3 linked regions of the Saccharomyces cerevisiae S288C genome follow. Each later gene encodes a partner of the first gene's protein in a complex. Each region holds a gene or a part of one and is shown in the gene's direction. Other genes may lie near its edges.

Evidence for each region.
Region 2: ASK1 (region 1) and DUO1 share a complex: the UniProt entries of both Saccharomyces cerevisiae proteins name them as parts of the DASH complex.
Region 3: ASK1 (region 1) and DAD1 share a complex: the UniProt entries of both Saccharomyces cerevisiae proteins name them as parts of the DASH complex.

Annotation. Positions count from the first base shown.
Region 1 is NC_001143.9:339,154-342,300, reverse strand, and holds ASK1 (Ask1p), read left to right. Parts: upstream 1-1,754; coding exon 1,755-2,633; downstream 2,634-3,147. Other genes in the region: SFK1 (Sfk1p), read right to left, coding at 1-989; MDM35 (Mdm35p), read left to right, coding at 2,859-3,119. UniProt on the Saccharomyces cerevisiae protein: Component of the DASH complex that connects microtubules with kinetochores and couples microtubule depolymerisation to chromosome movement; it is involved in retrieving kinetochores to the spindle poles before their re-orientation on the spindle in early mitosis and allows microtubule depolymerization to pull chromosomes apart and resist detachment during anaphase.
Region 2 is NC_001139.9:388,426-391,671, reverse strand, and holds DUO1 (Duo1p), read left to right. Parts: upstream 1-1,960; coding exon 1,961-2,704; downstream 2,705-3,246. Other genes in the region: YBP2 (Ybp2p), read right to left, coding at 1-1,607; PYC1 (pyruvate carboxylase 1), read right to left, coding at 2,940-3,246. UniProt on the Saccharomyces cerevisiae protein: Component of the DASH complex that connects microtubules with kinetochores and couples microtubule depolymerisation to chromosome movement; it is involved in retrieving kinetochores to the spindle poles before their re-orientation on the spindle in early mitosis and allows microtubule depolymerization to pull chromosomes apart and resist detachment during anaphase.
Region 3 is NC_001136.10:477,924-480,618, reverse strand, and holds DAD1 (Dad1p), read left to right. Parts: upstream 1-1,860; coding exon 1,861-2,145; downstream 2,146-2,695. Other genes in the region: inositol polyphosphate kinase KCS1, read left to right, coding at 1-1,504; HED1 (Hed1p), read right to left, coding at 2,334-2,695. UniProt on the Saccharomyces cerevisiae protein: Component of the DASH complex that connects microtubules with kinetochores and couples microtubule depolymerisation to chromosome movement; it is involved in retrieving kinetochores to the spindle poles before their re-orientation on the spindle in early mitosis and allows microtubule depolymerization to pull chromosomes apart and resist detachment during anaphase.

The DNA of each region.
Region 1 (3,147 bases):
ATCACGCCGGCGTTATCGTCCGAAGGCAAAACGTCTTCACTGTGGTAGAGGCCTAGCGCCTTGTCATACTTGTAATAACCCGAAAATGATTCCACGTGGTTGAAATAGCGGGATTGTCTGTATCTTCCACCTAAATAAAAGTCGGCGGAAAGAATCATAAATATGATACCAAACCAAAATGCTAGCAACCATTCGAAACAAGCACTCTTAGATCTATCATTGATAGCACCAAAACAAATGGCCCATACAACTGCGAGAGTTAACCATATAACTTTTAGAGTTGCACTGATGGTAAATTTATTCCATACATGGCCTTTCCATTTATACCAAGGCAGCTCATCCACAGTGTTATAATCTTGGTTAAAGCTTTTTTCAGATGATTGAGGATTGAAATGAGGGCTGGCTAGGGGGTGGACTGAGGCATAGTGCCTTCCCATGAGGAAATACTCTGCAATCAAGCAGCAAGTGGATAGGAACATGAAGACGACGAAAACAGAGACCATAGCAATGTGAACGCGATGGTACAGGGCGGTTGAGAAGATGGAACTGAATAAAAGGGCTAGTTCACCAATGCTGCCGAGAACAAAAGCTGCGAAAATCAGGTTCCGTTCATCCTTTGTGTAATATGGAGGCATTAAGTATTTACCGCTGTGCAATTTCTCAGCATAAGATGTGGAATCAGAGATAGAAGGGTCTTTTTTTTTCAGTTGGAAAGGCAGATAGCCGGATCTTTGAAAAAACTCAAGGGCAACAGTGATTACATAGCCTAGACCCTGCCAGCCGGCGCACGATATAAACAGTGGCCTTAAATTAGTGGCACCTATATCTGAAATGTACACAGGGAATTGCTCCGAGTGCATGAACCAATATATGGGATGGCCTTGACTGGCCCAGCAAATAAGCATGGCTATCAGCATACCATACCATGGAATGAAGGCAATCCAGGGTACTATGAACAGCCAGTTACCTGGACTTTTAAATTGAATCATGCTATTGCTTGTACCTTCTATGTGTTTTTACTATGTAGCAGAACTTTTTACTATGAATGTTAAAAGTATCTAAAGGAAAAAAAATCCCGCAAAAAATTGTGTCTTATTATTTAGGTTTTTAGTTGTCCAGATGTTAAATCAGTAAATCTCAACTTCAGGGAATAACTATATTTATAAACTGAATGCCCCTAAGAAGGAGTGAAAATTCCGGTTTCATTCTCCTTCGCTTAGATGACAAATCTTCCAGGCTGAAAAAAGTTGCTATTTTTCCAGTTTTTTTTTTTCATCCATTTACTTTACTGCCGCGGATCCTTCAATTGAACAGAGCCCTTAAGCCGCAGAGGGGTAAGAGATCTTCGTTTTTGAACAGCCGTGGAAGATGTTTAGAGTTGGATATGGCTGGCAAGACCGTTGTGTTAGTCTTCATTGATAATCTTGGGCCTTATCCCGTCCTACTTGCACTATTATAGTGGAAATGCGATATGTCCGGTGCGTCATAGAGGAACGGAGGCCCTTGCTTGATTAGTAGCTACTCCGATTAAATGCGGTAGTGCCGCGCGGGTAACAGAACAGCGAGTTTTTCCTGTTTTCTTTTCCGTTCTTTTCCGTTTGTTTCCGTTCTTTTCCGTTTTTTTTTTCCGTTTTTTTGGTTTGTTTTGGTGAGCTGAGGCATCAACAAAATAGATATCTACAGTTTGGGGTGGGAATAGAGCCAGGTTGATCAACGTATGGAAAGAGCAACATAAGGGATTGTTGACACAAAAAATGGATTCTGCAAGCAAAGAGGAAACATTGGAAAAACTTGATCAAGAAATTACAGTGAACCTGCAGAAGATAGACTCTAACTTGAGTTTCTGCTTTCATAAGATCACCCAGGACATCATCCCACACGTGGCTACATATTCAGAAATATGTGAGCGGATCATGGATAGCACCGAATGGCTGGGGACTATGTTTCAAGAGACTGGGCTGGTGAATTTGCAGGCAAATGCAGCTGCACCAGTGGGAAACGCTCCAGTCAAAAGCCTTGTGAGCAATAATGTTGGTATATTTCCTACATCCGCTGAAGAGGCGAGTAGGCAGTCCCAGACAGACAATGGGCCTAACGAGGCAGATTCAGCTGTACATGTCAACCGGGATGTCCATTCTATGTTTAATAACGACAGTATAGATGATTTCCACACAGCGAATATAACATCCACGGGACAGATATTGAAACTTCCGGACTCTAGCGACGAAGATACTGGTTCAGAGGCGGTGCCTTCAAGGGAGCAAACAGACCTTACAGGCGAGGGTCATGGTGGAGCTGATGATGAGCAAGATGAAAGTACAATACAGAGACAAAGCCGCAAAAGAAAGATTTCGCTACTTTTGCAGCAGCAGTACGGGTCTAGTTCCAGCATGGTACCGTCTCCGATTGTGCCCAATAAAATGCGGAAGCAACTGGCTCATGAAGAACATATTAATAACGACGGCGATAACGACGATGAGAACAGCAATAATATAGAGAGCTCGCCTCTGAAGCAGGGGCACCACCACCCGAAGGGACAAGCGGATGATAACAACGAAGGGCCCGATGAAGAAGAGAGTACGAAAGAAGTACCAAAGCCTGGGACCATCATTCATTTTTCTACGAATAGATAGAATAAATAAGTACATACAATTTTTACTAGTGATGAATATCAGAACGCAGGGTAATGGGCCCGCTATATTTTTTCTTCGATATAGGGAGAGCCACATTCAGAATATTCAGAGTATTTGCATGTAGAAATTTATTCTAAGTGCGCCAGATATATGCCGGGAGAGGTCATTAGAAAACATCTGTTTGTGTTTTAACTTGAATTACAATAACAATAATACCAGTTTTATATGGGGAATATAATGTCAGCTAGTTTTGCGCCTGAATGCACTGACCTGAAGACGAAATACGATAGTTGTTTTAATGAATGGTATAGCGAAAAATTCCTGAAGGGAAAATCCGTTGAGAACGAGTGCTCAAAACAATGGTACGCTTATACTACATGTGTCAACGCAGCTCTCGTCAAACAAGGTATTAAGCCTGCTCTAGACGAAGCTAGGGAGGAGGCGCCGTTTGAAAATGGCGGCAAACTAAAAGAAGTTGACAAATGAAGTATATATTTTAGCACAGAATGTGCAT
Region 2 (3,246 bases), on another chromosome or scaffold:
ACACTATTAGCGGTATTCCCAGGATTCTGTTGTTCGATTAAACCGACAGTTTCGTCACGATTAGCAGCCTCAGGAGATCTAATCATCATATCTCTTAGAATGTCAAGAACAGCAATCTTTGCAGTTATATATGGACAATGTAGTAGAGTTTCAAAGATGAACGTAAAAGATGTGCTTTCGGGCATGAGATAGAGTAACCTCCTCAGAAGAGTAATTTCGGTCAACTTAGTGTCGTTATTAGATTCATTGCAAGTTTTCATCAGTAACATCTGCAAAAAGGCCGTGGTAATGTGCCCTGGAAGTTCTTGTAAGGCACACTTTATTTTCTCTGTGGAAGTCTCGGTTGTGGATACCCATAGCCAGTAGCGTACTGAACTTTCCAAAAACTTATTTTCGTATATTTCTGAAAATAAAGAAGCTGTCGTACACCGTAGATAGAGGTAAATTGCGCTTTGGATATCAATTTGCGGCAATAAGTGAGTACCATTTTTAGAATAATGTATTGCAGATAGAATCACAACTCCATATTGGTCCAGCTCTAAGTTCTTTTCGTCAGCTAGTTTCTTGATTTGATATGCGTAAGATACCTCATATACTAGTTGGTTAATTTCTTCTTTGAATTCGGGCGTGGAAGCGGCCGGGTTCATGAGAAGAGAGTTATAGATGCTTCTTGATTCTACCAGGCACTTTTCTAAAAGTTCTTTCATGTGGACATCCAATGATGTGACATACTCGTAGTATTGGTGGCATATCTGTAAAACTGAAGCATCGATTTCATTTTCATCTGTTTTTTTATGCATCAATGTTTTGAAATATATCTTGTCAATATTACCTGGATGATTTTTTAGGCAGTTGCTAATCACGAATACGCTCAGATTAGCCAGTAGTTTTTTCTGTAAGGCAGATTCATCATCATGAATTTTTTCAAGATCGTTTGTACTAATACCATCGGTCAGACTAGCAGATGGTTGAGCTGGAGAGTAATTAGTACAAAAATTGTACACTATGCGCAAAATAAAGTGTGGATCATCCATAGCCTGAACGTTGGTTGTTACATACTTAATAATTGCAGAAGTTACCATGGCTAGAAATTTAGATGGATATAAAGTGTCCACACGTTTCAACAATAAACTCATAAATTCAAAGAGAACGTAAATTTTCAAATTTGGAATGAATTCTACTGTATTTTTGGCCATATAGTGCCCAATCTCCGGAGTGATAACTGACAGCTCATCAGTAATGTTTGACGCATCATTTCTATTGGAGTCATTTAAATCTTCATTCTCTTCATCGGAGTCGCCAGTTTCAGTTAAGACTATATGGAGTGTTGACACCAATTCGCAAGCGGTCAACAAGCATTCTTTCGGATTTCCATTGATGGCTAGCTCATTGAAGCATTCCATCACACTAGAAACAAGGGGACTAAAAACTAGATGTATATTGACATTGATGTTTTTGCGTGAGAAAAACTGCAATAAACCCTTTGGCAGATCCCAGCCAATTTCCTTTAAGGTAACTGGATTATCCTTAAGTATTTTCAATAGGGCATCCAAATAACGTTCCTTTTCTTTTATAGACTTTCCAGAGTTCACCTGCTCGTTGTACATATCAATGATTGTTACAAGTGAGACAAAATCATCCTTCTCCTCTTGGAAAGCCCTGACAAGGCTTTTACAAATTGTTTCAATTGACTCACCCATACTTTCTGAGCCCTTCCTCTTGACGGTGAGTTCTTTTAGCCTTTTAGACCCAGGATAATATGTATTTTCCTTTATTCTTAGATGAGAGGTTTTTGGACCTCAGCGCAAGTTAGTTTCACAGCGAAACGAAGGAAAAAAGAATAATAATTACAAACAAACGCCAAAATCAAACGCGATAAAGAAAGATAGGCTAAGTAATCTGGACTGGTGACTCAAGTATTACTAAAGAAGATAATTTGAAACTTGAACAAGTCTTCAATATGAGTGAGCAAAGCCAATTAGATGATTCGACTATAGACAAACTGATTCCACAGATTTTCAATGAGATGAGATCTAACCTCAATAACACGACCAATAAATTTCCAAAAAGCACAGGAGGTGGAGCAAGCGATAATATTTCGGCTAACAGCAATTCTATAAGATCGTTTAATTCAATCACAACGCAATCCTTACTCAAAGAATCAGAATCGTTAGATAAAATAACAGCAATGATAAAAAATGTTACGGCCGCATTAAAAAATAACTTGCCAGTATACGTTAATCAAGTACATGAGGTATGTAAATCTACGAATTCCATTTTAGATTCATGGATCAACATTCATTCTCAAGCTGGTTATATTCATAAATTGATGAGCGATCAAACCTATTTAAAGCTAATTAATGATAGACTGCACAATGAAAATGTAAACACAAATGATGAAGATGGGAGTACTTTACACAACGTGATAGCGTTGAAAAAGAAGGAGATCTTGGATTTGAGACAAAAATTAGAAAATAGGAAGGGTGAAAAGGATGCTGCACCAGCAAAGCCACCAAATCAAGGCTTAAATCCAAGGTACGGTGTGCAATCTGGTAGAAGGCCCGTTCCTTCGGCAGGAATTTCAAATAACGGAAGAGTAAGAAAGACCCATGTTCCTGCCTCGAAAAGACCTAGTGGTATACCAAGAGTAACTAACAGGTGGACTAAGCCCACTGCTAGCAGCTCAAGGAAGATGTTTCGCTAAAAGATGCTTTCGGGAATGTATCTAGGATTTATTGTATATGGAATTTAAATCGAAATAGTAGATAAATTAATGATGAAAAAAGGACACGTTAATTGGATGCGTTAAATTATTATTTTTTTTTTTATTTAACTTTTGTTCCTAATTATGTATTAGTATTTACTGGTCGTCAAAAAATAGGAAAGGTAAATAAATAAGATTCGGGTATATTATACATTATAAATGAGAACTAACCGGTTCATGCCTTAGTTTCAACAGGAACTTGGTCTTCTAATAGAACTAATAAATCAGAAGAGTCCACATTTTCACCATCAGAGACAAACACTTCTTTAACTTGTCCATCGGATGGAGAAGATATAATCATTTCCATTTTCATGGCGCTTAATACGGCTACAGGTTGGCCCTTCTTTATTAGTGATCCTTTATGAACTTTAACTTCAACAATGACACCTGCCATTGGTGCACCAATGTGTAATGGATCATGCATGTCTGCTTTGGATTTAGTAACAGTTTCCACTTTTTGTGATCTGTCAGCAACACGAATT
Region 3 (2,695 bases), on another chromosome or scaffold:
CATAAGGGAAGTATTTGCACCGAAATGTTTTAGAAGGAAAAGAAACTCTAATACGACTACAATGGGAAACCATAATGCGCGTTTGGGTTCCAGTCCATCTTTTTTAACACAAAAATCAAGAGCCTCGTCCCATGATGCATCGAATACGTCTATGAAGACTCTTGGTGATTCATCGTCACAAGCGAGTTTACAGATGGATGACTCGAAAGTCAATCCGAATTTGCAGGATCCTTTCTTGAAAAAATCGCTTCATGAAAAAATATCTAATGCTTTAGATGGCTCGCATTCAGTAATGGATTTGAAGCAATTCCACAAAAACGAACAAATAAAACATAAAAACTCTTTCTGCAACTCTTTATCACCCATTCTCACTGCAACCAATTCTAGAGATGATGGCGAATTTGCCACCTCCCCGAATTATATCAGCAACGCACAAGATGGTGTTTTTGATATGGATGAAGATACGGGAAACGAAACTATAAATATGGATAACCACGGCTGCCATCTTGACTCTGGTAAAAACATGATTATAAAGTCATTGGCGTATAATGTTTCAAATGACTATAGTCATCATGATATTGAATCAATTACGTTTGAGGAGACGTCCCACACCATTGTTTCAAAATTTATCTTATTGGAAGATTTGACAAGAAACATGAACAAGCCTTGTGCACTGGATCTAAAGATGGGGACAAGACAATATGGCGTAGACGCCAAAAGAGCCAAGCAACTGTCACAGCGTGCAAAGTGTTTAAAGACCACTTCTAGGCGTTTAGGCGTTAGAATCTGCGGATTAAAGGTTTGGAACAAAGATTATTATATCACAAGAGATAAATACTTTGGTAGAAGGGTTAAGGTTGGTTGGCAATTTGCTAGGGTACTTGCACGTTTTTTGTATGATGGTAAGACCATTGAAAGTTTAATCAGGCAAATTCCAAGGTTGATCAAGCAACTAGATACTTTGTATTCTGAAATTTTTAATTTGAAAGGTTACAGGCTATATGGCGCGTCTTTATTACTAATGTACGATGGAGATGCTAATAAATCAAATTCTAAAAGGAAAAAAGCTGCTAATGTTAAAGTCAACTTGATCGATTTTGCACGTTGTGTTACTAAAGAAGATGCAATGGAATGTATGGATAAATTTCGTATACCCCCAAAATCGCCAAATATAGAAGATAAAGGGTTCTTACGAGGTGTGAAGAGCTTGAGGTTTTATCTGTTATTAATCTGGAATTATCTGACTTCTGATATGCCGTTAATTTTCGATGAAGTAGAGATGAATGATATGATTAGCGAAGAAGCAGATTCGAATAGTTTCACCTCCGCCACCGGTTCGAAAATCAACTTCAACAGTAAGTGGGATTGGTTAGATGAATTTGACAAAGAAGACGAAGAAATGTATAATGATCCAAATAGTAAACTAAGACAAAAATGGAGAAAATACGAGCTTATTTTCGACGCTGAACCAAGATACAATGACGATGCTCAAGTTAGTGATTGAAAAGAAAGGATAGAACTAATGAATATTCTTTTAGCTGCGCTTATTTCAGTCCGTAAATGCATTTATCTATTCGTAACTATCATTATTTTGATTGCATAATCCAATAAATACACAAACGAGCATAGCATATATAACTATATATATGAAAAGACAAACGAATTTGTACGTGTATGAATATGACTACACGGTTATAGGCGATCACTAGAACCATTGAGCGGAAAGGGCCACCTCCGGGTAAAAGTCAAGGCCGCGAAAATAACAAAGGGAATAAACAGTCACCTTTAACAAGAGGAGGTAGTAATTAGCGTAGGAATAGGACTGATGAAGAGCTCGGACGTGTGAGGATATATGTACATATGATGGCTAGTACATCCAATGATGAAGAAAAGTTGATATCAACCACTGACAAATACTTCATCGAGCAGAGGAATATAGTATTGCAGGAGATCAATGAGACTATGAATTCAATCTTGAATGGTCTGAATGGTCTCAATATATCATTGGAGAGCTCGATAGCTGTGGGAAGAGAATTCCAGTCAGTTTCTGATTTGTGGAAAACACTTTATGATGGGTTGGAAAGTTTATCAGACGAAGCGCCCATCGACGAGCAACCTACTTTATCTCAATCGAAAACGAAGTAAAGTTGCGGTTCCCTCTGTCTCTCCTAATATTATCCTAAATTTATGTTTACAGTCGCAAATTAGATAAAGGATACGTAAGATATAAATTGTAATTTTAGCCTAATGATAAGTAAGTTGTGGACAACTTTTGCACGTTGAAAAAAGTGGAGGGCCACCGAACTCTTTTTCAAACGTTCTCCTCTTTGAACTTAGTTGTCTACCGTTTTGGATGGTAATAGCTGTTTCTTGGATAGACCTACCTTATATTTAACCTTGTTAGAATCCACCTGATAGAATGTCTTGTTCGTTTCATATATCAAGTCCTTTAGGCTCTTCTTCTTCCTTGGAGGGCTTTTCTTCATTGAAGGTGGTGGTTGTAGCCTGTCAAGCTCTTTCGAGGGACCTCCTTGGTATTGATCTTGTTCTCTTACTCCTTTTTTGGCGTCCAGATAAGCACCCCCATTGGGGCTTCCGCCACCTGTGTTCTCAGACAGATTTTTGGCACGAAGTTGTTGTTTTTCCAATTCCAAATTAAACAGTCTTCTTTCTACAACGTTGATGTTGACTATGG